Sus scrofa: one gene and its partners. The protein of the gene in region 1 interacts with the protein of each later gene in a biochemical or structural test. Links are inferred from orthologs where the notes say so. Each region holds a gene or a part of one and is shown in the gene's direction. Other genes may lie near its edges. The genes, in order: STUB1, ubiquitin-conjugating enzyme E2 N-like, UBE2V1, HSF1, INSR, IRF1 and HSP90AB1.

Evidence for each region.
Region 2: the proteins of STUB1 (region 1) and ubiquitin-conjugating enzyme E2 N-like form a complex in vitro, tested with the Homo sapiens proteins (11 studies listed by BioGRID and IntAct). The link is inferred for Sus scrofa from reciprocal best matches to the Homo sapiens genes STUB1 and UBE2N.
Region 3: the proteins of STUB1 (region 1) and UBE2V1 form a complex in vitro, tested with the Homo sapiens proteins (4 studies listed by BioGRID). The link is inferred for Sus scrofa from reciprocal best matches to the Homo sapiens genes STUB1 and UBE2V1.
Region 4: the proteins of STUB1 (region 1) and HSF1 form a complex in vitro, tested with the Homo sapiens proteins (2 studies listed by BioGRID, with this or other methods). The link is inferred for Sus scrofa from reciprocal best matches to the Homo sapiens genes STUB1 and HSF1.
Region 5: the proteins of STUB1 (region 1) and INSR form a complex in vitro, tested with the Homo sapiens proteins (2 studies listed by BioGRID, with this or other methods). The link is inferred for Sus scrofa from reciprocal best matches to the Homo sapiens genes STUB1 and INSR.
Region 6: of the proteins of STUB1 (region 1) and IRF1, one has a biochemical effect on the other in vitro, tested with the Homo sapiens proteins (4 studies listed by BioGRID, with this or other methods). The link is inferred for Sus scrofa from reciprocal best matches to the Homo sapiens genes STUB1 and IRF1.
Region 7: the proteins of STUB1 (region 1) and HSP90AB1 form a complex in vitro, tested with the Homo sapiens proteins (3 studies listed by BioGRID and IntAct, with this or other methods). The link is inferred for Sus scrofa from reciprocal best matches to the Homo sapiens genes STUB1 and HSP90AB1.

What each region holds. Positions count from the first base shown.
Region 1 is NC_010445.4:41,092,334-41,096,444, reverse strand, and holds STUB1 (E3 ubiquitin-protein ligase CHIP), read left to right. Parts: upstream 1-1,263; 5' UTR 1,264-1,383; coding exon 1,384-1,542; intron 1,543-2,034; coding exon 2,035-2,233; intron 2,234-2,321; coding exon 2,322-2,487; intron 2,488-2,824; exon of another isoform or gene 2,825-2,966; coding exon 2,967-3,054; intron 3,055-3,206; coding exon 3,207-3,263; intron 3,264-3,350; coding exon 3,351-3,467; intron 3,468-3,544; coding exon 3,545-3,670; 3' UTR 3,671-3,931; downstream 3,932-4,111. Other genes in the region: uncharacterized protein LOC100524737, read right to left, coding at 1-14, 134-286, 466-625, 782-875, 948-1,075; JMJD8 (jmjC domain-containing protein 8), read right to left, coding at 3,978-4,058. UniProt on the Homo sapiens protein: E3 ubiquitin-protein ligase which targets misfolded chaperone substrates towards proteasomal degradation.
Region 2 is NC_010443.5:26,024,472-26,028,659, forward strand, and holds the start of ubiquitin-conjugating enzyme E2 N-like, read left to right. Parts: upstream 1-1,336; 5' UTR 1,337-1,708; intron 1,709-4,188. UniProt on the Homo sapiens protein: The UBE2V1-UBE2N and UBE2V2-UBE2N heterodimers catalyze the synthesis of non-canonical 'Lys-63'-linked polyubiquitin chains. This type of polyubiquitination does not lead to protein degradation by the proteasome.
Region 3 is NC_010459.5:51,629,650-51,633,549, reverse strand, and holds the end of UBE2V1 (ubiquitin-conjugating enzyme E2 variant 1), read left to right. Parts: intron 1-98; coding exon 99-224; intron 225-1,523; coding exon 1,524-1,670; 3' UTR 1,671-3,317; downstream 3,318-3,900. UniProt on the Homo sapiens protein: Has no ubiquitin ligase activity on its own. The UBE2V1-UBE2N heterodimer catalyzes the synthesis of non-canonical poly-ubiquitin chains that are linked through Lys-63.
Region 4 is NC_010446.5:483,611-488,020, reverse strand, and holds the start of HSF1 (heat shock factor protein 1), read left to right. Parts: upstream 1-1,555; 5' UTR 1,556-1,573; coding exon of another isoform or gene 1,574-1,718; coding exon 1,719-1,835; intron 1,836-4,410. Other genes in the region: ribosome biogenesis protein BOP1, read right to left, coding at 171-326, 1,319-1,408. UniProt on the Homo sapiens protein: Functions as a stress-inducible and DNA-binding transcription factor that plays a central role in the transcriptional activation of the heat shock response (HSR), leading to the expression of a large class of molecular chaperones, heat shock proteins (HSPs), that protect cells from cellular insult damage.
Region 5 is NC_010444.4:71,929,649-71,933,282, forward strand, and holds part of INSR (insulin receptor), read left to right. Parts: intron 1-1,827; coding exon 1,828-1,957; intron 1,958-2,938; coding exon 2,939-3,073; intron 3,074-3,634. UniProt on the Homo sapiens protein: Receptor tyrosine kinase which mediates the pleiotropic actions of insulin.
Region 6 is NC_010444.4:134,775,614-134,778,230, reverse strand, and holds the end of IRF1 (interferon regulatory factor 1), read left to right. Parts: intron 1-339; coding exon 340-475; intron 476-1,067; coding exon 1,068-1,180; 3' UTR 1,181-2,049; downstream 2,050-2,617. UniProt on the Homo sapiens protein: Transcriptional regulator which displays a remarkable functional diversity in the regulation of cellular responses.
Region 7 is NC_010449.5:39,242,285-39,246,581, forward strand, and holds the start of HSP90AB1 (heat shock protein HSP 90-beta), read left to right. Parts: upstream 1-1,489; 5' UTR 1,490-1,731; intron 1,732-3,110; coding exon 3,111-3,257; intron 3,258-3,548; coding exon 3,549-3,755; intron 3,756-3,856; coding exon 3,857-4,016; intron 4,017-4,160; coding exon 4,161-4,294; intron 4,295-4,297. UniProt on the Homo sapiens protein: Molecular chaperone that promotes the maturation, structural maintenance and proper regulation of specific target proteins involved for instance in cell cycle control and signal transduction. Undergoes a functional cycle linked to its ATPase activity.

The sequences.
Region 1 (4,111 bases):
CCCTGAGGCACTGCCTAAGGAGGGGCAACAGGGAGTCTGGGGCCCAGGTCACCCTGCTCTGCTGGGAAGCTCTGCACCCTCCACCCTGACCAGAGTCCTGAATGCCCTCCCTCGCTGCCAGCAGTCTCCTCACCATGGCTCAGAGCTGTGGCTCGCTCCTGCACCCGGCTCAGGTACAGCAGGTAGTGCTTGAGGGTGTACTGCAGGGCTGGCAGACCGGGCACCGCGGCCACTGCCTCCTCAGACATGAAAGCTGCCACCTCGGGAGCTCCGGCAGCCAAGACCGCTATGGGCAGCAAACAGCCAACACTCAGGCCCCACCAGCCTCAAGACACCTTCGGGGCTGCCATTCGCAACAGCTCTTGGTGTCATGAACGTGGCCATCAGGCGATGTCCCAGGCAAATGTACTAACAGACCAGGTTCCGCCCGCGACCCTGCCAGGGCGCCAGGCTCTCCCGACTAACCCGAGGCCGTGGCCGGGCCCACGCCCCGCAGGGCGCGTAATTCCGTGACCGCGGCGTGCATGTCTGGCAGGAGGGGGAAGGCGGCAGCCGAGTGCTGCACCACCAACTCCGGGGCGTTGGCGCTGACGAGCTGATGCAGGCGCGGCCTGAAGCGGCCCCGCTGGTCAAGTCGGGGTGGGGGTCACGGGTGCTGGACCTCGCTAGGGGCCCCGCCCCACAGCGCGAGGGCCCGCCCCCGGGCGAGCCACGCCCACGCCCACACCGCTACGCCCCGCCCCGGAAGGAGGCCCCGCCCCCCAAGTGGGAAGTTCCTCACAGCCAGCTTCCAAGCCAGCAGCTGCCCCAGCTCTTCTCGAGTCACGTGCTTCTCCTCCCGGCCCTCGATGGCTGCGGGCAACGCCTCTCGATACCTGGAGAAGAGCTGTGACGGCGACTCCGGGCCACGGGGGTCCCCCGCCCACCCGATGCCCCTATCACCCTACCATCGGTCCAGGGCTTCCAGCCGCCCCTGGGGGCCCGCGCGCGCTCGGAGCACTTCCCCGTGGCGGCCCAGGACGGCGGCCCAGAGGCTCGGGTCCTCACAGCCCCAAAGGCCGCGGGCCGCCGCCATGTCCACGCGCCGGGGCAGGGCTTCGGGGGCGGGGCGCCGGGGCGCCGGGGTGGGCTTCCGCCCCGACGACCTCGGCTCTCCTCAGGTTGCCGACGCCGCGCGTCGAGTCGCCGCGAGCGCACGCTCCCTGCCAACCCCGCCCCCGCGGCGCGTTGGGGGCACGCGAGGCCCCGCCCAACCGCACGGCCGGAAGTTCCGGTGGCAGAGCGCAGGACTGGGCCCGAGCGGATCGCGGGCTCGGGGTGCGGGCGCTGGGCGGGCCGGGCGCGGAGCCTGGGAGCGGAGCCCAGGCCGTGCCGCGCGGCGCCATGAAGGGCAAGGAGGAGAAGGAGAGCGGCGCGCGGCTGGGCGCCGGCGGCGGCAGCCCGGAGAAGAGCCCGAGCGCGCAGGAGCTAAAGGAGCAGGGCAACCGGCTCTTCGTGGGCCGCAAGTACCCGGAGGCGGCGGCCTGCTACGGCCGCGCCATCGTGAGTGCGCCCGGGCCGCGGGAGGGGGCAGGCGTCGGGGCCGGAGGAGGGGCCGGGCCGGGCCGCGGCTTCGGCCCCGCGTCCTCCCCGGAGCCCCTGTCTGGCCGCCCCTACCGGACTTTCGGAGGGGATGCACTTCGGCTCTGAGGACTGAGTGATCTTCTCTCAGAGAGGCCAAGGCTACGGCTCCCGAGCCAGGGTTGGTGGTCAGAGAACTGTGGCGGGTGGGAGCTTCAGGGTGCTTGCAGCCCACTGGGCTGGGGGTCCAAGCCCAAAGCTGGGGATTTTCAGGAGTCTGGGAAACCTGTCTTCGCAAGACTCGTTGGAGTCGAGGGGGCGGGCTCAGGTAGGCTCCACCCTTCCTCCGCGCCCAGAGACCTGGGTGCTGAGAAACCTCTAGTGTCTTGATTCCAGCCGTGGGTCTCAAGCTAGGACAGAAAGGGCAGGCTGAACTCACTCCCTCATGTTGGCTGGTCCGGCCTTGGTCCCCAGACCCGGAATCCCTTGGTGGCAGTGTATTACACCAACCGGGCACTGTGCTACCTGAAGATGCAGCAGCACGAGCAAGCCCTGGCTGACTGCCGGCGCGCCCTGGAACTGGACAGCCAGTCTGTGAAAGCACACTTCTTCCTGGGGCAGTGCCAGTTGGAGATGGAGAGCTATGATGAGGCTATTGCCAACCTGCAGCGAGGTGGGCTTGCTGGCTGGCCTGTTCCAGGGTGCCTGGGACCAGGCGGGGGGACTGGCTCGAGGGTTACCCGGATCCTTTGTTCCCCCAGCCTACAACCTGGCCAAGGAGCAGCGGCTCAATTTTGGGGATGACATCCCCAGTGCTTTGCGCATTGCCAAGAAGAAACGCTGGAACAGCATCGAGGAGCGGCGCATCCACCAGGAGAACGAGCTGCACTCTTACCTCACTCGACTCATTGTGGCTGAGCGTGAGAGGTGGGCTGTGGTGTTCATGGGCTCCACCCCACCTCCCAAAGTCACCATTCTTTTTTTCCTTGTTTTTTTGTTTTCGTGTCTTTTCGCCATTTCTAGGGCCCCTCCTGTATCATGTGAAGGTTCCCAGGCTAGGGGTCCAATCGGAGCTCTAGCCGCCGGCCTACGCCAGAGCCACAGCAATGCGGGATCCGAGCCGTTGTCTGCGACCTACACCAGTTCTTGACAACGTCGGATCGTTAACCCACTGAGCAAGGCCGAGGTTCAAACCTGCAATCTCATGGTTCCTAGTCGGATTCATTAACCACTGAGCCATGACGGGAACTCGCAAAAGTCACCATTCTGAGTCGTGAACATAAGCGTTTATTGAGGACCAGCCTGGGAAAGCAGGAGATGAGGGAACAGGGCCTGAATCGGCCCAAGGTGGAGTCTGATCTCCTCTGGCCAGACCCATCTCTGATCAGCTGTGTGGTCCACCCCAGGGAGCTGGAAGAGTGTCAGCGGAACCACGAGGGTGAAGAGGATGACGGCCACATCCGGGCCCAGCAGGCCTGCATCGAGGCCAAGCATGTGAGGGTGCCCTGCCCACGTGTGGGTCCTGTGTGTATTTGCACGTGTGTGATGTGAGGTGACCCTGGCTCCTGTTGGGTCTTTGTGGGCGGGGTGCCTGGGGAAAGGCGACAGGGGCTCAAGCTTCTCTGGAGCTGCCTGGTTTTTTGTAGGATAAGTACTTGGCAGACATGGATGAGCTCTTCTCCCAGGTGGATGAGAAGAGAAAGGTAAGCTGCCTGTTCCCTGGGCCCTGTGGGTAGCAGGAGCCAGGGCAGTGCCCCTTCCCGCTCCTGACCTGAGCTTGGGTGCTGCAGAAGCGAGACATCCCTGACTACCTGTGTGGCAAGATCAGCTTCGAGCTGATGCGGGAGCCGTGCATCACGCCCAGTGGCATCACCTATGACCGCAAGGACATTGAGGAGCACCTGCAGGTAAGGGTCCGTAGCCGCTGGGGGCAGGGCCCACACCCACTGGGCATCTTCTCATTCTGATCCTGTTGCCACTGCAGCGCGTGGGCCACTTTGACCCTGTGACTCGGAGCCCCCTGACCCAGGAACAGCTCATCCCCAACCTGGCCATGAAGGAGGTCATTGATGCGTTCATCTCGGAGAATGGCTGGGTGGAGGACTACTGAGGCAGGGCAAGTGGGTGGGCCCCTCACCCACCCTGCCCAGTATCCTGGCTTCTTGGGAGGGCCTTGGGGCAGCAGCCCCTAGCCTCTGTACATAGTTCGTGTCCCTGGATCCCCACCCTGGTATCCCCAGCCCCAGCCCCACCAGTTCTGCTGGGCCATGAGGCTCCCCCATCCTCCTGTGCCAGAAGCGGCAGGTGAGGGTGGGCCAGGCCGAGGTTGCTGCTGCCACCACTGTCCCTGTAATAAAATCTGTGAGCACTATGGGGGCGTGTGCTGGTGTGCAACGGCTTACCAGCCACCCCCTGGGTTAGCTGAGGAACGTAGAGATGAAGACGCTGATGTCAAGGTTGAGTGTGGCGTGCCACCATCGGTCAGGGAAATACAGCACCTAGTGGATGGGGTGAGAAAGGCACAGGGATTGGTTGCAGGCCCTTGGCCCGG
Region 2 (4,188 bases), on another chromosome or scaffold:
GTTTTTGTTTGTATGAGAAAGTCTAAATTTATCTTTCACTTTTGAAGAATAATTTTGTAGGGTACAGAATTCAGGTTGATTTTTTTTCCCCTTCTGAACACTTTAAATTTCACTCTGCTCCACTTCCATGGTTTCTGAGAAGTTGCATGTAATTTTCATCTTTGCTCTACTATAAGTAAGGCTTTTTTCCTCTCCTCTGGCTTCTTTCGAGATTTTTCTTTATTTTTGATCTTCTGTAGTTTGAATATGATATGCCTAGGTGTAGTGTTTTTTGGAACTATTCATGATTGATGTCTCTGACATTAGCATTTTACATTAATTTAAAGAAAATTGCTGTCCTTATTGCTTCAAATATTTCTCCTATTACTTTCTCTTCCTGGTATTCCCATTATACATATGTAACACTTTTTTATAGTTGTCTCACAGTTCTTAGATATTATCTTTTGGGTTTTTTTTCCATTTTTTTTTTCCCTCTTTGCATCTCTGTTTTGGAAGTTTCTATTAACATTTCCTTAAGCTCAGAAATTCTTTCCTCAGCTGTGTCCAGCCTACTGATTAGCCCATCAAATGCATTTTTTTATTTCTGTTACAGTGTTTTGGTTCCAGCATTTCTTTTTGGTACTTTCTAAGAATTTCCATCTCTCTGCAGACATTGCCCATCTGTTCTTGCATGTTGTCTATTTTTTCCATTAGCCCTTTGCATATTCATCATATTTATTTTACATTCCTGGTGTAATAATTCTAACAACATTCTTGCCATATCTGAATCTATTCCACTTTATTATTATGTAATGCTCCTCTATATCTCTGATAACTTTTATTGCTCTGAAGTCTGCTCTGTCTAAAATTAGTAGAGTTACTCCTGAATTTTTTTGACTGGTGTTAGCATGGCATATCTTTCTCCATGCCTTTATTTTTAATTTACGTATGTCTTTATTTATATATGCATGCATTTGGTCACACCTACAGCATGTGGATGTTCCTGGGCCAGGGATTGAACATTGCTCTGGCTCTTCAAATGGTGTCTGTCTTTTGCCTTTTAGTATGCCTTACAAGTTTTTCTTGAAAGATGGACTTGTACTGAGTAAAAGGAACTGCAGTAAATAGGCCTTTAATGATGTGGTGGTTAGGTGTGGGGGAAGGGAAAATGTTTTATAGTTTTATGATTAGGTGTCAGTCTTTTGATGAGCCTGTGCTGCTGGGCTGTGAACGTCACACGTGCTTCTCTGTTGTTGTGGGTTTTTTTTTTTTTTTGCCCCACTCCCCCCCCTTAATTGGAACAAGATGCCTAGAGGAGCAGGAGTTGCGTATTTCGCTTCCCCAGTGTAAGAATAGAGCCAGCTGGGGCTGGGCATTTCCCTTCCCCTAGGTCAGTTAGGCACAGATAAAATCCCAGCAGGTTAGGCCCTAGAAAATAGCTTCTCCTGCAGGCGGACCTTGTTAAGAAGTGAGTGCTCTGGCACATTTCAAGGTGGTTCCTCTTCGGCTCCTTCTTCAGGAAACACAAGAAGATTTTCCTCTCAGATCTCCACTGTGAGAGTCTAGTAGGGCTCCTAGAGGCAAAGCTCACAAAGTGTGGATTCCTCTGGAATATTTAATTCTCCGATTTGTCTACTCTGCGGCTCCAGCCACCTGTCAAATACAGTTCAGCTTTCCTGACTGCGGCACTGGTTCCTGAGGAGGTTTCTGCTTGTGGGTTTCCGCTCTGGTAAGTTGTGATTTTCTGTGTCTCCCTGTCTCTCTAATGTGAGGGCCCGAGATTTGCCCTGAGACCTTCGTTCTCTCATGGATTTAAGAGTGGGTGATTTTTCAGTTTGTTCGGCTTTTTCTTGTTTTTAGAATGGAGGAATGACTTTCAAGCTCCTTCCAGGCCAGACCAGGAACTGCACCCCTTTTCCTTTTTATAAAATGATACCTGAGTGATATTTTCTGATCCAGTGTAGAATTTAGTGAAAACGTCTACATTCTGGTCATTGTTGCTATATTATTCCCTTCCGTTAATCCTTTTGGGCTATAATTGTTTCCCCAAATACTTTTTAGCTGTTAACAGTCTAGTTCTTTCCTCTGTTTGTTTTTCTTCAATTCCACTCCCACTCTGTCTTGGAGTGCTAACAACCAGTACCACCCATGTGTGCCAGTTGGGTCAACATTTAAACAAGGATGTACTGTTTACACTGTTGTTTCTAACATTCTGGTTGCAAACACCGCTTTGTGCTTTGTGAATTGAATTGGTGACAGGTGAAACTTAGGCTGATGGCAGAGAATTTGGGGTTATAAATGATGGTTCGAAGCTAGATTTATTTCGTTTTCTCTAAACCTATTAAATCTGTCCAGGTTGAAGCTCACTTGTATTGTATGCACTCACATTACGTAGAGAAATGGCTTTCAGCCTTGCCTTTGTAATAGATTCACTGGCTCTATTTCTATTTAATTGGTCTAGATGGGTCCTGGTATCAGTATTTCTGAAAGTTCCTTGAGTAATTCTACCATGCAATTTGAGGTAAGTCCATTGGTCTGTAGCAATGGTCAGCAAAACTTTTCTTTAAGGAGCGGAGAGTAAATATTTTAGGCTTTGAAGATCATTTGAAGATCATATATTCTCTACTGTAATTACTCAGCTCTCATGTAGCCGCCACAGGCAAATGGGCATGGCTATGCTCTAACAACTTCCTTTCTAGAGACCAAAATTCTAATTCATATACTTTTCATGTGTCATGAAATATTCTTATTCATTTGATGTTTTTTTTCAACTATTAAAAAATATAGGAGTTCCCGTTGTGACTTGGCAGTTAACAAACCTGACTAGGATCCATGAGGATCCCTGGCCTTGCTCTGTGGGTTAAGGATTCGGCGTTGCCATGAGCTGTGGTGTAGGTCTCAGACACGGCACAGATCTGACATTGCTGTGGCTGTGGTGTAAACCAGCAGCTGTAGCTCTGATTCAACCCCTAGCCTGGGAACCTCCATATGCTGCGAGCGCAGCCCTAGGAAGAACAAAAAAAAAAAGTACAGATTGGTTTTGTCTTACAGGATTTACGATAACAGTCTGCAAGTGGGATTTGGCCTAGGGACTGTTGTTTGGCAGTTCCTAGTTAATGGTTTATTTTCTTCACTGCTTCAATTTGGTTCCAAAAGAGAAAATGTTTCCTTAGTTACATCACTGATAATATCTTCAATGAATCCCAGAACTGACTACTTATTTTAAGTCAGTTTATCAGAACATTTTTAAACATGGCAATGCATTTCCTTATTAGGCTCTGAAGTTGTGGCCATTGAGATGCTTTTATCTATGAGTAACAAGCATGGCTTAAAAGGCTTTCAACAGTAGGAAAGGTATTATCTCATTAAAATAGAGAGAATTGCAGGGCTATTGTTATTTGAAAATGTCATCAGCCCAGATGTTTTCCATCTTTCATTCTACTATCCTCAATATTAGTCCTGCCTGATGTCTTGCCTCATGGTGGCAAGATGGCTGTAGTAGCCCTGGGCATCACATGCAGACTCACAACATCCAAAAAAAACAAAGAATAATTCCTTCCTTGAATTTATTTTGAATGTGGGGCAGTCTATTTTTAGACCAAGGCCCTCCTCCTATGTAAATCTCCCCTTAAGTCTCAAGGACCAAATCAGGCCCTGGTGAAGGAATTGAGATTACCATGATTACCTATCATGATGCTTGCCTTGGCTTCAGGATCTGGTCTGCCTTTCACAGGTGGCCCCAGGATCCCAGAATCAAATCAGGGTTCTGATAGCAAAGGAAGAGGAAGAAATGGCAGTGGGGCAAAAAAAAAAAAAAGTCTCACACAGAACTAGATTGTTAGGATTAAAAAAAATAAGGCGGCTGTCTCCTAAACTCCTCATTTCCATTTGTTTATTTACTTCCTTTAAAAGACCATTAGACAATTGTTGAGTACAATTTTCCTGAAAGATAGCTTATTGATTTTTCACTCAAGTAGGTTACATTTTGCTTCAGCCTTCAAAGACATTTCTATTACTCCCTTCAGATTACATTTAAAAAGGAATGTATCCGATTTTGGCTTACTTTGTTCTTTTTCTAAACCTGTACCACGTTGTGTGTGTAGCATAAAAATGTCCATGTCAAAAAAGGTTTAAAAAGAGTCATCACTTTTTTCTTTTCATTTTGAACTATCAAAAGATTGTTTCGTTTTGCAGGTTGTACTCTGGAAA
Region 3 (3,900 bases), on another chromosome or scaffold:
TCAGTTCTGCAGTCAGGAATAAATGGGGTTTCAGAAGTTCTACCTTTTTGAATTCTTTGTAATTGCCTGACATGGCTGTACCCTTTTTTCTTTTCCAGACAATTTATGAAAACCGAATATACAGCCTTAAAATAGAATGTGGACCTAAATACCCAGAAGCACCCCCCTTTGTAAGATTTGTAACAAAAATTAATATGAATGGAGTTAATAGTTCTAATGGAGTGGTAAGTAGTTTTTCCATGTGTTACTTGGTTATTTGATGATATTGCAGTATAAACGTGCAGATTTGGAATGAAAGCCTCTTCCTCAGTTGTGTTTAGCTGTTCCTTGTGCAGCATTTACTCTGCCCTGTGTTACTCAGCACTGTGCCAGTCACTTTGAGATAAGAGCTCATTCAGTCTCCTGATAAACCCCCAGCAGGTAGAGAGGAGGAAACGGAGGCATGAAGGTGAAAGATCTTGCTCAAGGTCACGCTTTTACCTCATGGGCCTTTTTTGTGGACGACTAATGCATAGTATTTTTTTTCCTTTAATGGCCTTGCTTTTCAAACTTTTTGTCTTTTTAGGGCCGCATATGCAGCCGAGGCTAGGGGTCAAATCAGAGCTGTGGCCGCTGACCTACACCCCAGCTCCTGGCAGTGCAGGGTCCTTAACCCACTGAGCGAGGCCAGGGTTCAAACCTGCATCCTCAGGGATACTAGTCAGATTCGTTTCCTCTGAGCCACGACGGGAACTCCTAAACTTATTTTTACCACCATTTTCACTACCATGAATGGAAACCAGTCTCATTTGTCATAAGAAGGCAGTGATGGCAATGGCAAATGTTACAAAAAACAAAACAAGCTTGATAGTTTTTCCACCATATGTTGCTTACCAAAGGCTTTTGAGCCTCTGATCCCTGCTCTCTTGTTCAGAGAGGAGATCAGCAAGTATTAAAGATGCTACATATTAGCATCACACAAGCTAATAAGCCTTCTGTTTTGAGATAGTCGGAAAACTTGACAAAGTAGAAAAGAGGTGAGCCTTGTTTCTGTGTTCAGTGTTGTCTGAGTTCCACCTGAAGTGCTGAATCCAGGACTCTGCTCACACTGAGAAACTGTTTTGGGAGAAGCCGCACGACTTGAAAAGGGATGACTCTGAGGCAGGCCCTTGTGATTAGAGCCTTGGTCCTGAGTAGTGGCAGCAGCTGGCCCAGAAGCAGGTCAGGTCATGTCATTGTTTCAGAGCCAGTTGGATTGAGTCTCACCAAGTGTCAGGACCATTTCTCTAAAAGTGGCTTTGCTTATCCATAATTTCCTTCTCCCAAACAGTGAGCGTTTGGGACACAAAAAGGGGGAAACAGACTAACTGGAAGGAGAGAGTCCCATGAACACTCTGTGTGTCACATACCATTGCGTGATCAGCATGTTCAATTTGAAAAAATGCGTTTTACTCAGTGTTTCTTCTGTAGCTTAGCTTCAGCATACAGCTCTTCTTTTGTTTGAGAACCTGACAGTAATTTGGCTTTTGTTTGCCTTTGTGTAGGTGGACCCAAGAGCCATATCAGTGCTAGCAAAATGGCAGAACTCATATAGTATCAAAGTTGTTCTGCAAGAGCTTCGACGCCTAATGATGTCTAAAGAAAATATGAAACTCCCTCAGCCGCCTGAAGGACAGTGTTACAGCAATTAATCAAAAAGAAAAACCACAGGCCCTCCCCTACCCCCCATTCGATTTAAGCAGTCTTCATTTTCCACAGTAGTAAATTTTCTAGATACATCTTGTAGACCTCAAAGTACTGGAAAGGAAGCTTCCATTCAAAGGCAATTTATCTTAAGATACTGTAAATGATACTAATTTTTTTGTCCATTTGAAATATATAAGTTGTGCTATAACAAATCATCCTGTCAAGTGTAACCACTGTCCACATAGTTGAACTTCTGGGATCAAGAAAGTATATTTAAATTGATTCCCATCATAACCGGTGGGGCACATCTAACTCAACTGTGAAAAGACACATCACACAATCACCTTGCTGCTGATTACATGGCCTAGGGTCTCTGCCTTTTCCCCTTCCCCTCCCCCTGCTTCCCTCCCTCCCTGCAACAGCCCTCCAGCTTGGGGTGGCTTGTTAGAGTAGATGTGAAGGTTTCAGGTCACAGCCTGTTGGACTACTGCTGGGTATGGGGGGGTGCTTTGTCTGCACCCCTTGTTTCTTTTTTTAAGTCTTAAATGATGCCTCCCTTCCAAGCCATCATCCTTTCCCCAACTCTCCACTCCCACCCTTGGCCGAAGCATAGATTGTAACCCCCTCTGCTCCCCTCTGAAATTGGCCTTTGGTGAGGAATTCAGGGCTTTCCCCATATCTTCTCCCCCTACCTTAATCGAGGGGTGCTGCTTTTTCCTTCCTCCTCCTCAAATCCCTTTTTGCACCATCACCACCCAACACTTTCCATGGCACTTCCTTGCTTTGGCCAGAAGCCATCAGGTAAGGTTGGAAAGAGTCTCTGACCGCCCTCATTTAGTTTTGGAACCATGTTTATTTACTCTCCACCAGCCTGGGAAATGAATATTGGGTTCTCAGCCCTGCCACCCTCTGCTGTCATCATCAGCTGATGCGTTTTTAGCTCAGGTTTTGATAAGATGAAAGAACAGTCACCAGGGCTACTCAGACCTGCCAGCTCTCGAAGTCCTTGGTGGTTAAACTTGGAGAAAGGCCACGGAAGACACTTGTAAGCACACACAATCCCTCTGAATGAATTGTTTTCTTTTCCTGTAATTGCTTTTGCTTTTAAAAATTGAAGAAGTTTTGAAGGTATCTCATTTGGTCATCCTTGCAATCCAATTTGGGTCTAGTTTGGAATCTGACAACTGGAACAAAAAGAATCTTGAATTCGGTGCATACTTTGGTTTTGGTGCTGCTGCTTCTCACGGTCCTCAGCAGGGATTAAGAAAGAACTCGGTGTGCACGGCAGATCCCCGAAATTGGCGGGCTTGACTTTCCGGCAAATTGCTGCGTTTTTCCACTTTTCTGTTCAGGACCACTAAATGCTGAGGTGTGGATGCATACCGAAATAAAAGCAATTCATTGTGTTCTAAGGGTTTTTTTTTTTTTTTTTAATTTAGCGTTTGTATAAAACCACCTTTTGAAGCAGCAACTATCAAGTCTGAAAAGCAATTGATGTTTCCATTAATCTTTTTCTGGGGAAAACCTTAGTTCTAAGGATTTAACATCCTGTAAGTAAAGTTTAACATAACAGTATTCCATAAGCAGCCTTTTTATTGTCAGACCATTGCCTGATTTTAATATAATAAAAAGAAGTGTGCGTTAATATTTAAGAAGCGGTGCTCTTCTTCCTCTTGGCATATAATTTATTCAGGAGCAGAATTTAATATCATAGATGCTTTGGGATTCAGTTTGGTCTCCTAGAGCAGGGGTCGGCAAACTTTTTCTACAGTGGGCCAAAGTTAGTAAATATTTAGGCTTAATTGGCCAAGAGACAAAAAAACAAAGAAAATGAGTATTTATATACATGAGAGAAAACAAATTTCCAGGTTGTTTTGATGAAATTCAAAATGGTAATAATTGAGTACAGTTTTTTGTAATGTTACAGATCTGCTGAGAAGAATGGAATGCTTTTTTTTTTTGGAGATGACATTTTACTTAATTGGATTCAAGATTAGTATTCCCTGTTATCAAACCAATTGCAAATGTTCAGCTATAAAAATCCTTCATTCAAGGGGCCATACAAAACTGGGCAAAGGGCCAGATTTGGCACATAGACCATAGTTTGCCAACCCCAGATCTAAAAGATTGGGTTGGTTTTTTTTGGTTGTTTTGTTGTTGTTTTCTTTGGCTATACCTGTGGTATGTGGAAGTTCCTGGGGCAGGGATCAAACCTGTGCCACAGCAGCGACGAGC
Region 4 (4,410 bases), on another chromosome or scaffold:
AGATTTTCCGGGTTCCTACTGCGGTTGAAAACTGGTGCCCTAGGGCTCAGAACCCCCCCCCCCCGCACCAGAGGAAAGAGAAAGCAGAGCCCGCGAGCTGGCAGGCACTCTCCCGGCCACCCGCCCGGAGAGCGAGGACGAGCACACCAGAACACTGCTCGCTCACCCACCTGCTGCCCCGTGGCCTTCTCCATCCTGCTGTGCTGCTCCTCGCCGCTGGCCCCGTCCTCCTCCTCACTGCTGTCACTGCCAGAATCTTCCAGGCCTGAGAACACACTCTCCTCGCTGTCAGACAGGCTGGGAGCCGGGGCGCCGGGGAGAGAGGGCTGCAAGGAGCACACTGTCGGTGACCAGCTCTGTGTGGCGCAGGACCAGAGCTGCTTCTGAGCAGACTTCTGCCCACCAGACACCACCCCGGCCCTAACTCCACCAGACAGGGTGCACGGTGGAACAAGAACCTGCAGACTCTTAGCAAGCATTCATTGGAAGGCAAAATTCTAGATTTCATTGTTTTTCAATAGTTCCTGAGTCTCTCGCCAAACTGGACAGCCTGCACGGAGCAGCTACCAAACAGCACTCAGCACACACTCTATCGTGCCTAACTAGCTACACAATTACAACGGCAAGTAAAAATGGCACAAATGTTTTGGGCACAAACACAAACAGCCGCTGATGAATACAGAGGCAAAAGCACTACAAGTGGGTGAGCATGGTGCCCAGAGCTGCCTGCCGGCCAGGGAGCACCACGAGCACTTGTCACAAGTGAAGGGGCAGCCTGATAAACCAGCAACGTGGAGTCCCAGCTGCGAGGCTCGACTGCACAAGCCTGCTATGGCTTTCTACCACCGAGATTTGATGAGATTTGATGACACCCCCACAGCGCGGCTGGGGTTCCGCTGGACAGGAAGAGCATGAGTCCAGCTAAAACGGGCCGTCCAGTGCAGCAGGCGCTGCTTTCTCATCCTCGTTTCCTCTTCTACAACGTCTAACGTGTCAGGAACATTTGGCTATACAAGCAGCTACTGCAGGCTCAAATCTTCTGCGCCCAGATGACAATTCAAAGGCCCAGGAAGACCGCTGCGCAGGACGCCGGCTCTCCTTCCTTATTCTCTCCGGCCCAGACCTTCTTCCGACCCACACAACCGCCAGCCAGCTCCCTGCCCAGGACGCCCCCGCAAGGCCGCCGGGGCGGAGGACAGGAGACCCCTCCCTCCTCGCATTCCCAGGCCCGCCGGGCGCTGGGCGGGATCGCTCCCCGGCCGGTGCCGCGGCCCAGCCCCGCCGCCCCCCCCCGCTCCCGCTCCCGCTCCCGCGTCACCTCCTCCGGCTCCCGCCCCGGCTCCAGCATCCGCTTCCCGGGCCGCGTCCCGGCCACCGCCACGCGCCGCGCGCCCTGAGGTCCCGCCATGCCGCCCGCCGGTCTGCCCTGCGCCGCCACTTCCGGCAGCGACGCGACCGCGTGGGCCTGGGGGCGGGCCCGCGGGGTCAGAGGGCGCCGGGCGGGACGGGGGCCGGTGTGCGTGCGCGCGCCGTGGGACGCGGGCGGCGCCGGCGGGAGCGCGCCCGTCGCAAGATGGCGGCGGCCATGCCAGGCCCCGGGGCCGTGTGTGCGCAGCGGGCGGCGGCGCGCGGCCCGGGCGGCAGGCGCGGCAGCGGCGCTAGCCCGGCCCTCAGCCCCTCCTCGCGGTCCCGCCTCCGCCTCTCCCACCTTGCCCGGTATGGATCTGCCCGTGGGCCCGGGCGCGGCGGGGCCCAGCAACGTCCCGGCCTTCCTGACCAAGCTCTGGACTCTCGTGAGCGACCCGGACACGGACGCGCTTATCTGCTGGAGCCCGGTGAGGGGCCGAGGGCGCCGGCCCGGGGCGGGGAGGCCGCGGCGCGGGGGCCCAGGACGGGCAGGCCCGGACCCCGCCTCGCAGGCCCGGTGTGGGGGTGGGGAGCAGGGGGTAGTGCGGGGAGAAGCGTCGCAGGCCCGCTGGAGGTCGCTCCTGTCCACGCCGCTCTCCCGCGTTGGGTAGGAAGGGCTTCTGCCTCCGTGGGCTTGCGCTTGCTGCCTGTGGGACGACTGCGGGACGCGTCTGTGCTTAGAACAGCCCCCGGCTTCGCTAGTGGACGCTGGGCCCCGGTGGCCCCAGAGTTCCAGTGGTGTGGTGGGCAGTTATTCAGGGTAAATCAAGTCTCGGCCCTGGAACTGGAGGGCGTTTCTCTAGTTCGAAAGGAGAGGGAGCGAAAACAGAAAGCACAACGTCATAAAGTTCAGGCTGGTCTCGAGCCCGGGTCCAGATCCCAGAGCTGCTTTCCCAAGAGCGACTCGTGTTTCTTGCTCTGTGCGCGACTTTATTCACGCCCTGTCTCCCGTTGCCTGGCAGCGGGCAGGTGATTTACATGGTCTGACTCCGCAGGCTGGACAACTCCAGTTTGCGGAGGTTGGACTTGGAGATGGACGTCCTGGCTGTGACGTCGAGGTGGGGCAGGTCGGAGCCACGGCTCGCGGCTGGCAGGGGGGTGGCCTAGGCCACCGTAGTCGTAGGCAGGCTCCGGGCGCCTCCAAACGTGCTTACTCTCCTGAGCGCCCAAACGCTGGATTTCTTGGACCCCACTGAGTTGTTGCCTGTCATCCTGCTGAGCCCTTGGAAAGGAAGAGCAGTCTGGGCTGAAAGGAGCCCAGAGCTGGAGGCCACGTTCTCTCGTTCCACTTGTCCCTTTGAGGAGACCAGAAACCGTGCTGCATTCCCTTGGGGACACTGTGTGTTGTCCCAGCAAATATCCATGTGGCGTTCTCCATCCCAGGCCCTGTTTCTTTAACGGTGGGAACCACCCCTTGTTCCAGGCCTTGAACTTTGCCGGCCAAATGAAATGACCCCATTTTTCTGTCTTTTTCCCTTCTCCCTCTTCTTGTCCCTTCCCCGTAACTCCCGTTTGGGGGAGGGCACCAGAGGTCCTTTGGGATGAACCTACTGTGGGGACATCCCGCCTCTCAGTCTGCTCCAGGCCAGGCGAAGCACAGCCAGCGTCAGCTTGCTCCCCAGGCCTCACGGCCTGTATTCCAGGCAAAGCCTGGAGCAGGAAAGCGGACATGGTCCAGCCCGTGATGGTCTCTACTCAAGGTGGCTGCGCCCCCAGGCATGGTCTCCCTGGGGACAAGCGGCCATGGAGCAAGAGCTTTTGATCCTCCTTAGTCTGTACACAGAGCGAGTAGGGTGTGCTTGGTGCAGGACGCAGTGGGGCTGGCCCTGAGAAAGGAGACCAGCCCCTGCCTGGGGCCGGCAGGGTGCCCACAGGACCCCCGGGCCTCTGTCTCAAAGTCCGCTTGGAGCCCTTTGCCGACTCGCAGCCTGGAGTCCTGCTGTCGGAGGCCCCGGACAGGTCTGACGCCTGTGCCCTTGGCCCTTCCCCTTTGTGCTGGAACTTTGCTCATTGTTCCACCAGGAGAAAACCTCTGCCTGTGGCCCAGGGAATGAGGGGGAGGAGGAGGTGCAGTGGTCGACTCTGTGGTCTGCGTGATGCATGACCACGGGCGGGTGCCAGCCCTGGGAGCTGGGGCCGGCCAGCGGGTCGCTGCTCCAGAGGCACGTGTTGGTTTGCCCGCCCTTCCAAAGCCTTGTCCCGTCAGATGCGCCCCGTGCGGCGCCACGGCTGAATAGGCAAGGGCTCCCGCGGGAGGGGACTTGGTGACCGGGAGTGTGGCCTTGGGAGTGCTACCACCACGCCCCCTGGGACATAATGGGAGTCAGACCCTTCTGGCCAAGACTGAGGGCCTCTTTCTCCCAGGAACCGGACCTTGCCAAGGCCACCAGCCCAGGTGGCCCAAGTGAGTGCCACACTCAGGGATCGCTTGAGAGGGGCTAGTGTCCAGGTGGAGCACGGTCTCCGTGGTCAGGTCCCCAGCTCCCTGTGAAACCCCTGGCCACTCCAAGCTGGCAAAGGACCATTTCCAGAGACCCCAGGACAGGCAGGGCCGCCCTCTCCCCTGCCCGGAGCCAGGCGGGCCCCACCAGCCTGCTGAGCTGGTCCTCCGTGCAGGAGCCCGCAGTTGCCCCCGTGCTGGCTTCGAGGGCCACTGCAGAGCCTGGAGGTTCCCGGGGTCCCTGCACCTGATGAGCGTGCGTGGCCGCCGAGCAGGCCTCTGCCTGCCGCAGCCAAACCTTTTCCACACGGAGCCTGTCGCGCCTCCCATTGCCCTGCACGAAGGTGAAGGTGGCCTTTTTACAGACGCGAAACCTGAGCCTCGGAGGTGACAGGAAACGCGAGGAAGACCCTGAAGTGCACAGGCCCTTTGCCCGCCTGCCCCACCGACCGCGCTCTGACCGCGCCGAGTGTCGAGTCTCCAGTCGGGCGTGGGGTCCAGCTCGGGCTCCACCCCCCCACCCCGCGGTCTTAGCCGGGCCCGGCCGCACGTGGCTGACCAGC
Region 5 (3,634 bases), on another chromosome or scaffold:
AACCTGCATCCTGGCACTGCAGGGGCACTGCCCTTCCTGTTGGGCCACAGCAGGAACTCCACTCATTCACTATTTTTTTTTTTTTTTTATCTGTTTGCCATTTCTTTGGCCACTCCTGCGACATATGGAGGTTCCCAGGCTAGGGGTCAAATTGGAGCTGTAGCCGCCGGCTTACGCCAGAGCCATAGCAATGTGGGATCTGAGCTGCGTCTGCCACTTACACCACAGCTCACGGCAATGCCGGATCCTTAGCCCACTGAGCAAGGCCAGGGATCAAACCCCCAACCTCATGGTTCCTAGTCAGATTCGTTAACCACTGAGCCACGACGGGAACTCCCCTCATTCACTTCTTTAAGTTGTATTTGTGCCAGTTGCTGCAGGAGGCGCTCCAGGTGCAAGGCTGAATAAGTCACTATGATTTTTCTGCCCTTGTGCAGCTTGCAGTCTTTATCTGCACCAGCCACAGGAGGCCATTTATGTTCACATTAAATTCCGTAACGTAAACGTCAGTCACCCTGGGCACCTTGAACAATACTGGACAGGGGATGTAGACCACGTTCATCATCACAGAAAGTTCTACTCAGCAGAGCTGTTCTGGGTGCACAGTGAAATAGTTGACACATAGGTAAAGAAGATGATGGAGATGGGGAAAAGGACCCAGAAAGAAAAGAGGAGTTCAGTTCCATAATAGAGGAAAAGCCCCTCTCATTGTAGGGAGGCAATGGTTTAACCAAGGCTTGCAGGATTAGAAGTTGACCTGGGGAGTTCCCGCCATGGCTTCGTGGTTAGGACCCAACATTGTTTCTGTGAGGTTTTGGGTTCAATCCCTGGTCTCACTCAGTGGCTTAAGGATCTGGTGTTGCCATGGCTGTGGCATAGGCCAGCAGCTGCAGCTCTGATTTGCCCCCTAGCCTGGGACCCTTCATATGTTGCAGACGCAGATGTAAAAAGAAAAGAAAAAGTTGACCCAAAAGGCAGCCTCCTAGGGGAAGTGACAGGGCACACAGAGGCCGTGGGGTTGGAGGGATGGCTGATGTGAATAAAATTCATGATGAGGAGAGCAAAGCAGCATTGAGATGTGAGAGTAAAGGAGGGAGGCAGGAACCAGATACTGAAAGGCCTTGCAAGTCACGGAACATTATCTAGGCATTGCCCGATATAGCCGGTGCGCAGCAGCAGGAAGTGACACGGATTGATTTCTGATCCCCAAAGGCCTTATCCTACATGAGCCAGGGAAGCAGGATGTGATGTGATCCTATGTATGTAGCTTCTCTCGGGCAGTCGGGATGGAGGGAGGGTCCTGCAGGTGAGAGAGAGTGCTGGATCTGGGTGGGTCCAGGGCTGTGGAGAGGAAGAGATTACATTGGGGGCGGGGGAGGGGGAGGATGTGGAAGGTGAGTGGCTAGACTCACCCCTGTTGACGGTGGGGTGTGAGGAAAGGGAGGACCCAACCCTGGGTTTCTGGCGGGGTAGCTGAGTGGCTGGTGTGGCCACAGCCAATGGGGACGAGTAGTGTTGGCTACAGGGAGTGGAAGATTCAGTTTGGAATGCCTGTGAGGTCATCGTGGGTGGCAAGGCAGCGTTGAGAAGGCGCTTCCCCCTCTGCAGGCCAGAATGTCGCTTCTTTGCTACGTGGTGGTTCCTTTTCTTTCTCTTTAACTGGTGGCCCATGCTCCCCCTCCACGTCCCCGTGAGCGCCCTCAGAATCCACTCCCACTGGATTTGGCGCACACACCTGGGGCAGGTGAGCCCATCTGGGGCAGTAAAGACGGCAGCCAGCTGGGCCCCAGGCTGAAGGCTAAGCGCATGTGAATTGTTTGTTATCAGACTTTGGAATGACCAGAGACATCTACGAAACGGATTACTACCGGAAAGGGGGCAAGGGTCTACTGCCCGTGCGATGGATGGCACCCGAATCCCTGAAGGACGGGGTCTTTACCACTTCTTCCGACATGTGGTGAGTCGCGGGTGGGTTGGTGGACAGAACCCTGGGCTTGAATTCCCTGTTGCTCCACTAGGGGGACCAGCGAGAGGGGTCATTGAAAACCGCCTTCCTCATGGCCTTTCCACCAAGAAAGGGAAGAGGATGTCATGCTGGGGACCCTTGCGCAGCTACCAATGGAGACTAGTCTTAGAGTTTTATTTCTGAACTGCAACATGAATTGTTTTTTGGGTTTGTTTGTTTGTTTTTTGTTTTTTTTTTTGTTTTTTTTTTTGTTTTTTTTTTTTTTTTTTTTTTTTGCTTTTTAAGACCCAACCCTGTGGCATATGAAGTTCCCAGTCTAGGGGTCCACTCAGAGCTACAGCTGCCAACCTACACCACAGCCACAGCCACATGGGATCCAAGCCGCATCTTCGACCTACACCACAACTCACGGCAATACTGGATCCTTTATCCCCTGAGCAAGGCCAGGGATTGAACCCAGGTCCTCATGGATACTAGTCGGGTTCGTTAACTGCTGAGCCACGAAGGGAACTCCTGAATTTTTTTTCTTTTAATAATTTTTTTTTGCTTTTTTGCTTTTTAAGACCGTACCTAAGGCATATGGATGTTCCCAGGCTAGGGGTGGAATCGGAGCTATAGCTGCCAGCCTACACCACAGCCATAGCAACGCAGGATCCAAGCTGCATCTGCGACCTACACCATGGCTCACAGCAATGCCAGATCCTTAAGCCACTGAGCGAGGGCAGGGATCAAACCTGCATCCTCGTGGTTACTAGTTAGGTTTTTAAACCTGCTGAGCCACAGTGGGAACTTCAATGAATTGCAACATGAATTGTTTTAATGAACTGGCTGACCAGGTTCTAATAAACCAAGAAGGTGTGTGTGTGTGTGTGTGTGTGTGTGTGTGTGTGTGTGTATGTGTGTGTGTGTGTGTGTTTTGTGTTGTGTGTATTTTAATGGCATCTCTGTTCTACTCCCAACTGTCATTGACAGGTCCTTTGGCGTCGTCCTTTGGGAAATTACCAGCTTGGCAGAACAGCCTTACCAAGGCCTTTCAAACGAGCAGGTGTTGAAATTTGTCATGGATGGAGGCTATCTGGATCAACCTGACAATTGTCCAGAGAGAGTGTAAGTGTAGAAAGGAGGTTCGGTGTGTGGGGTGCTCATGCAAAAGTATTTGTCCTTTGCATGGATACTTGCATTTGAACATGATATATCTGCTTGGTTTGTGTTTGCAAATTTTATCTCTGCATGCACACTTGTATTTTTATATGATGCCTATATATGTGCTTGTGTTTGCATATTACGTCTTTTTTTTTTTTTTGGCCGCCCTGTGGTATATGGAATTCCCGGGCCAGGGATCAGATCTCAGATCCCAGCTGCAGTTGTGACCCATGCCACATGTATGGCAATGCTGGATCCTTGATCAACTGCACCTGGCTGGGATTGAACTTTCATCCCAGGGCTCCAGAGACACCACTGATCCTGTTGCACCATAGTGGGAACTCCTGCATATTATTTCTTTCTTTCTTTCTTTCTTTCTTTTTTTTTGTCCTTTTAGGGCCACACCCACGGCATTTGGAGGTTCCCAGGCTAGGGGTCGAATGGGAGTTGTAGCTGCTGGCCTACGCCACAACCACAGCAACACAGGATCAGAGCTGTGTCTTTGATCTACATCACATCCTGTGG
Region 6 (2,617 bases), on another chromosome or scaffold:
TGTTCCATTAGCACAGAAAATGGAGACATGGGCCTAGTTCCTTAACTCTAGATTTTCTAGGTATCTTTTCTTGACTTACTATGTTAACCATTGTTTTAGCCACACTCCCGGTTGGTATGTCCTTACCCAGTTGAGAGGGAAGTCTTGGAGATTCTAAGACGGTAGACCCTCACCTCCCCGGCCCCTTGCTAACTGTAGTGCACATCTACATCTATCTGAGGATGTGAAAATGGCCAAGGATGGGATCCTGGCTGGGAAGCTTTGGCTCATTGAAGGCAGGGCCAAAGGATGAGTCTGTACAGGAAGTGAGCTGATGCCTTCTTGTTTCTTTGTCCCCAGCTCCTGGAGCAGTCAGGGTGGCAGCAGACAAACGTGGATGGGAAGGGGTACCTGCTTAATGAACCTGGGGCCCAGCCCACCGCTGTCTATGGAGACTTCAGCTGCAAGGAAGAGCCAGAAGTTGAAAGCCCTGGGGGTAAGAAGACCCTGGATCCATACGGTTTCTCAGAGAAGGGAGAACCATGTAGTAGGTGGGGAAGGCTTGGGGGCAGGGCTAGAGAGCAGCAGAGGTAAAGCATCCTTTTTGACATTCATCTGGGTCCAGGAGTTCCCATTGTGGCTCAGCGGCAACAAATCTGACTGGTATCCATGAGGATATGGGTTGGATCCCTGGCCTCGCTCAGTAGTTTAAGGATCCAGTGTTGCCATGAGCTGCAGTATAGGTCACAGATGCAGCTTAGATCTGGTGTTGCTGTGGCTGTGGTGTCGGCCTGCTACTGCAGCTCCGATTCGACCTCTAGCCTGGGAACCTCTATATGCTGCAGGTGCAGCCCTAAAAATAAATACATAAATAAGTAAATAAATAAATAAATAAATAAATAAATGCATCTGGGTCCAGATAGCTTGCAAATTGGCTCCTGCTCCAAGATCCTAAAGATGAGGCCGCCCTTGGGTGGAAGCAGAGGCTGCTGTGCCTGTGCCCTTCAGGGATAGGACTGGAGGGTGGCAGGGAGAACACACCTGCCTCCCTATCCCCAGTCCTCACACAACCTTTTTCACATCTTTAGGGTATACTGGGCTGATATCTTCAGATCTGAAGAACGTGGACACCAGCTGGCTGGACAACCTGCTGACCCCAGTCAGGCTGCCCTCCATCCAAGCCATTCCTTGTGCACCGTAGGCGGGCCTTTGGCTCCCTTTTAGTCCTCTAGGTGAGCGGGACCTGGCATCATGGTGGCTGTGGTGCAGAGAAGCAGGACTCCTGTGGCCTCTTGACATGACAAAGTGTGACCCCACTGCTGACCGGGGATGGGGCCAGTTTCCTTGGAACAATGGCCTCTTGGGGCCTGGCAAGCCAGATCTGGACTCATGTTGTGGGGTAAAGCTGGCCTTGTCTCCTGGGAAGATGGGCTTCTGAGAGTGGTGTGTCAGGAAGAGGTCTCAGACAGGAGTCAGCCTCCAGCTCTTCCCTCTGAGCCCAGCTGCCTGGAGACGGTCTTGCTGTCACTGAGCTGGCCCAAGGGAATGGACCATTGACCTCAGAAAAGCACAGCACCAACCCCAGGGCTGGCTCTGCACTAAGAGACGATTGCACTAAGTGAATCCTGTTCCCAAAGATTCGCCTCCCTTCTTAGCTGAGCCTTGGGGACTGTTCCAAAGCCAGAGAAATGTGAAGGAAGAATGGGGTCCTGTGGGACATGTCCCCTCTGCCTCAGAGGAGCTCTGCCCTGCTCCCTGCTTGGGCTGGGGGGCTTGTGAAAAAACATGGCACTTTTCCTGTGGACGCTGCCACATTTTTGATCAGAGGTGTACACTAATGTTTTCCCCAAGCTCTAGCCTTTGCATTTATTTATACAGTGCCTTGCCCTATACCCACCTGCCCCTTAAGCAGGCCCCAGCAGCCCCTCAGCAGGCCCAGGGAGGCAAGTGTGAGCGCCTTGATGTGACTTTTAAAATTGGAAATGTCATCTGACCACTAAGTCGTGTGCGACCACACATGTATATGTGTGTAAATATGTACATTTGTCTTTTTATAAAAAGTTAACTGTTTATAAGGGGTGTGGCCCTTTATTTAGAAATAAATTGTAGATGATTTTACTTTTTGTAGATACATTCTGATGGATTCATTGTTGGCATCCTGCCTGAGCTTGACTTTGGGGTGAGCAGTGAGTGACATATGCACCTATTGCTAAGTCCTTTCAATTATGTTCATGGAGAAGATGCCAGGAGAAAGGATAGTCGTTGCACATGGACATGCTCATGTAAATATAGTCACTGAGATGAATTTTGGCTTCTGGGGCCTGGGGAGTGTTAGGTTTTGAGTTTTCCTAAGGAATGTGCCATAGACTCTGATGTCCTGCCAAACATAGTGCAAGGGTACTCAGGTAGATGCTACTCCAAAAAGTTAACAGTTGGTACAGTACAGTCACAGACAGATCAGACACCGGCTCCCAAAAGGTCCCTGAGGCCTGCTGTGCCAAGCATTACTTGCTGTCCATTTTCTGCACTGATGGGAATGTTCTCTTGCACTGTCTGCCACAGTAGGCAGCGGCATAGGGAGTTCCCTGGTGGCTTAGCAGTTAAGAATGCAGTATTATCACTGCTGTGGCAGTTTGAT
Region 7 (4,297 bases), on another chromosome or scaffold:
CAGGAGTGTGGGGCAAGGAAAAGGAACGCGAGGGTCCTTTGTTCTTTGGAGTTCAACAGCTGGACAAAGAAGTGCTACAAGACTGCACACCAGGGCTGCCGAGGGAGGTCTGCGGGTCGGAGGTATCCCTCTCCCAAGCATTCCAGGGGCGGACAAAGTGGGCCACGAAGGGAGTTGAGGGAGTTGCTGGGCATCCACAAGGTCACGGCGCAGGGAGCGGTCATTCTCTCCCGGAGGGGCTGTGGGGCGGGTGAGCTCCAGAGATGAGGCCTTGGAAAGGCGAGGACAGCGTACCCGCCCCGAAGGCAAGCAAAAGCGGCAGGGCCAGGCGAGGCAGCTGGGCCGGCGCTTGGCTTGGGGGCTCCGGCGCCGCAGCAGCTGAAGGGGAACAACCTGGTTCTGCCCGCCAGGAGCGAGCAGCCCTTTGGCCAGCATGAAGGCGCTGGTGTCTTCATGCCACCTCCTAGAACCCCCGCCACCCAGCGGGGGTCCCTGGAGATCCTCCCCTCCCCAGACCTAGACAGTTGCAGGAGGGGAAAGAATTTTTGTAAAAAGAAAAGGAAACCAGATTGTATGTGCATGCCCCTGCGTGCGACACGCGTGGGCGGCTGCAGAGGCTGGGGAGGGTTTCTCAGGTAGCGACGCCACCCTCAGTCTCGGCTCCGAAGGCGGTTCTCGCAGAGCCGCCCCAATAACCCGTGTGCTGTGTGACTGACGGGGGAGAAAGGGGGGATCATCCCTGTTCCACCCCACCCTGGACGCAATGCTGAGCGAGCTGGGTCTGGCGGGTGGCGAAGAGGGTGCCGGGTGTAGTTGCCCGCCAGCAACATAGGATCGAAGTTGCCCACCTCTCCCGGAGATTCAAGCATAACGTTGGAGAGGCGGAGCCGCCGCAGAGGCACAGCCCAGTCCGCAGAAAAAGGGGTGGAGCCCCAAGGGAAGAGGGCGGGGCGGGGCGGGACAGGACCGTAGAGGCGGATCTGGAAACTGCTGGAAGATCGCAGCACCGCCACTGTCGCTCCTTCCGCCGCTTGCAGACAAAGAGTGCCCTCCACACCCGAGCCGGCGACCTTCTAGCAGCGGAAGCCACGCCCCGCAGCGAGACGCTGGCACTGCCCATTGTCCCCTGGGAGTGCCAGGGTTCGCGGGCTGCCCAAAGTTCGGCTTCAAATTCCCCAGTGTCCCCGGAAAGGACCCTTTCCCCTTATTGGGCAGTAGGAATGTGTAAGGAAGATTGTAGCAGGGAGGGAGCATAGGTGGGAGTAGTTGGTCCCCTTTCAGGTGTTCCTCTGGGATTCTTTGGTGTGGAGGCACCTGCTCTACAGGTTTTTACTGAGGTCAGCGGGGATTCTGTTCCCTAGAGCCACGGCATTTGTCCTATGAGTATACCCAACATCTAGCTCTGGTGGTGTCCTGTCTTCAGGACGCGGAGATGGGACTAAGAAAAAGTCTACACATGCGCGCCCTTGCTCTTCACCGCCCCCTCCCCTATTTTGGACCATGACGTAAAGGTGGGCGGGCAGCGGCAGGTGCGGGGCTGACAGACAGCCTCCTTTAAGGCGGAGGGATCTGGGGGCGGGCAGCGAAGGTGTGCTTCGCCTTATATAAAGCGACTGGGGTCTCACAGCCGTTCTCTTGAGTCACCCCCCGCGCAGCCTTGTTCTGGCGTGAGAGCCGGAGGCAGTCCTTCCCCGCTCAGCTTTGTGGTGTTTGTGATCCTTATCCTTTAAGGTAAGGTTGCACTCTTAAGGCATTTCTGGTTAAATTTCAGGTTGCTTTCGTCCATTCTGTCCTTTCTGAGACCCAAGTTTTTGTCGTGCTGGGGCGGTTTGCTGGACAACGCTCCCAATTTTTTTAGAGGGTGGGTGGAAGGGAGCTCTCGAGTTTAGCTTTTCCTTCCATGCTTGGTGTCGGGCCTTCTAGGCGGCTGTTAGGCCTGGGCGAGTGGGGCTGGGGGACTGGGCGGCTACACGTGGTAGCCGCGCCGGCCCGGGACGCTGCCATGTTTGCCCCTCTACTTCCGGACGCGACTACGGGGCGCCAGAGGGTGGGCAAGGTTGGTGGGTGTGCGGGCCCGGTGTGACTCAGCACAGCATGGTTCTGGGTAGGTTTTGCCATCTCTTTTATAGAAGGGAGTTTTTCTAGTCCTTAGTGTGAGGGTTTGCGGCAAAGGATGCTTTGGAGCTCCAGTGGCCCATCGTGCTTCCTGCTTCGAGCTCATTCCTGCAGTCAGGGTGGAGGGGTAGCGGAGGAGGCAGGCTTGAGAATTTATGGGAGCATTTCTTCGTCGTCCTCTTTTCTCCCCGTTGGCTGGAATTGTTCTGGAAGGTTCTGGAACTCGGCGCCCCGCCCTGGTGCCCGGATGCTGAGGCGAAGGGAGGCTGCGCGGTGGCGCCCCCTCCTCGCGTGGTCCTGGCCGACGCATGTCCGGCATCGACGAGCGTCGGCCCCGCGGACTACGCCACCATCTTAGTTGTATTTGGTTTGGTCCTGTACCTCAGTCACGTGTGCTACAGGGACAGAGTGGAGCCTTTTGCTTTATCGGTTCTTTGTCTTAATGGCATCCCAAGTGGGTATCCCACGATTCTCTCGCGTTAGCCTCCCTTACCACGTGAGGTAGCAATTTCACATCTTCCTGGAGGTGAAGGGAGAGCAGTTTCAAATGATAGCCCCTTTAAGGTAAAACTGGTCTGTTTGGGGGGGGGGCTCCCTCCCCTCCACCAGAAATGGTAGAACCGTAGTTACTAATTTGTACATTTGAATATGTATGTAGGTCTTCTGCTTATTCACATTTAAGAAACCGGGGTTGGGCGAGGTACTCTGCATGCCTAAGAGATTACCAGGTGATGAGAGGCTGCTGATCCGTGGATGGATCGCCTAACATCCTAACAAAATGCTTAAGAGACCTTAAGGCATTTTGGGGGCTGTATTAGCAGCCCCCCCCCCCCCCGCCCCTCTTATTCTCAGACTGAGGGCGCAGCCTGAAGTCTTTAAAGGAAAGGTCTTGCATCTCAGTACTCGGTTCAGAACAACTTGAACTGAACCTCTTAGTGTCTTTATTGTAATTGGGGTGAACTTGAGTCCAAAGTTCTTCATCTCTCTTATTTTAGATGCCTGAGGAAGTGCACCATGGCGAGGAGGAAGTGGAGACTTTTGCCTTCCAGGCAGAAATCGCCCAGCTCATGTCTCTCATCATCAATACCTTTTATTCCAACAAGGAGATTTTTCTTCGGGAGTTGATCAGTAATGCTTCTGATGTGAGTTCCCTGAGCGTCTTCATTGGCATTTGTTTGTTTCTCGAGTACTTCAAAGAAGGAGAGGGGTGATTGGGCATTTTGTGGGTTTTATTTTTGAAGGGAATATAAACTTCAATTCTAAAAAGGTTTTGCCTTGCTTTATGTGGATAGATGGCGTACTCTAACTGGATGTACGTCTCAAGCTTCAAATGAAAGGGGTTATCAGAAATGAGGTTATCTGGGAGTAGGAAAAAACTTTTTCTATTGGATGAGGTGGAAGCAGAATTGTAAAACTGCAATTTGTATTTTCAGGCCTTGGACAAGATTCGCTATGAGAGCCTGACAGACCCTTCCAAATTGGACAGTGGTAAAGAGCTGAAAATTGACATCATCCCCAACCCCCAGGAGCGCACCCTGACTCTGGTAGACACAGGCATTGGCATGACCAAAGCTGATCTCATAAATAATTTGGGAACCATTGCCAAGTCTGGTACTAAAGCATTTATGGAGGCTCTTCAGGTATGTGGTATTTCAGCTAGGCATGCACCATTCATATTCATTGATGTTTAGTTTGCTGTTTCTTCAAAACTTGTGTTTGACTTTTTAAAACTTTTTGGTAGGCTGGTGCAGACATCTCCATGATTGGACAGTTTGGTGTTGGCTTCTATTCTGCCTACCTGGTGGCAGAGAAAGTGGTTGTGATCACAAAGCACAATGATGATGAACAGTATGCCTGGGAGTCTTCTGCTGGGGGCTCCTTCACAGTTCGTGCTGACCATGGTAGGCTGATTTTCCTGTTGGGTGTCGGGGATAGAATTCTGAGGGAACAGTGGTAAAGATCTTGAGCATTCTAATGGTGAGACATTGGTCTTTGTTGTTCAGCACTTAGTTTTCTTTTTCACTCCGTTTTGATTGACTTTCTAGGTGAGCCCATTGGCCGAGGTACCAAGGTCATTCTGCATCTTAAGGAGGACCAGACAGAATACTTAGAAGAGAGACGGGTGAAAGAGGTGGTAAAGAAGCACTCACAGTTCATAGGTTATCCCATCACACTTTATGTG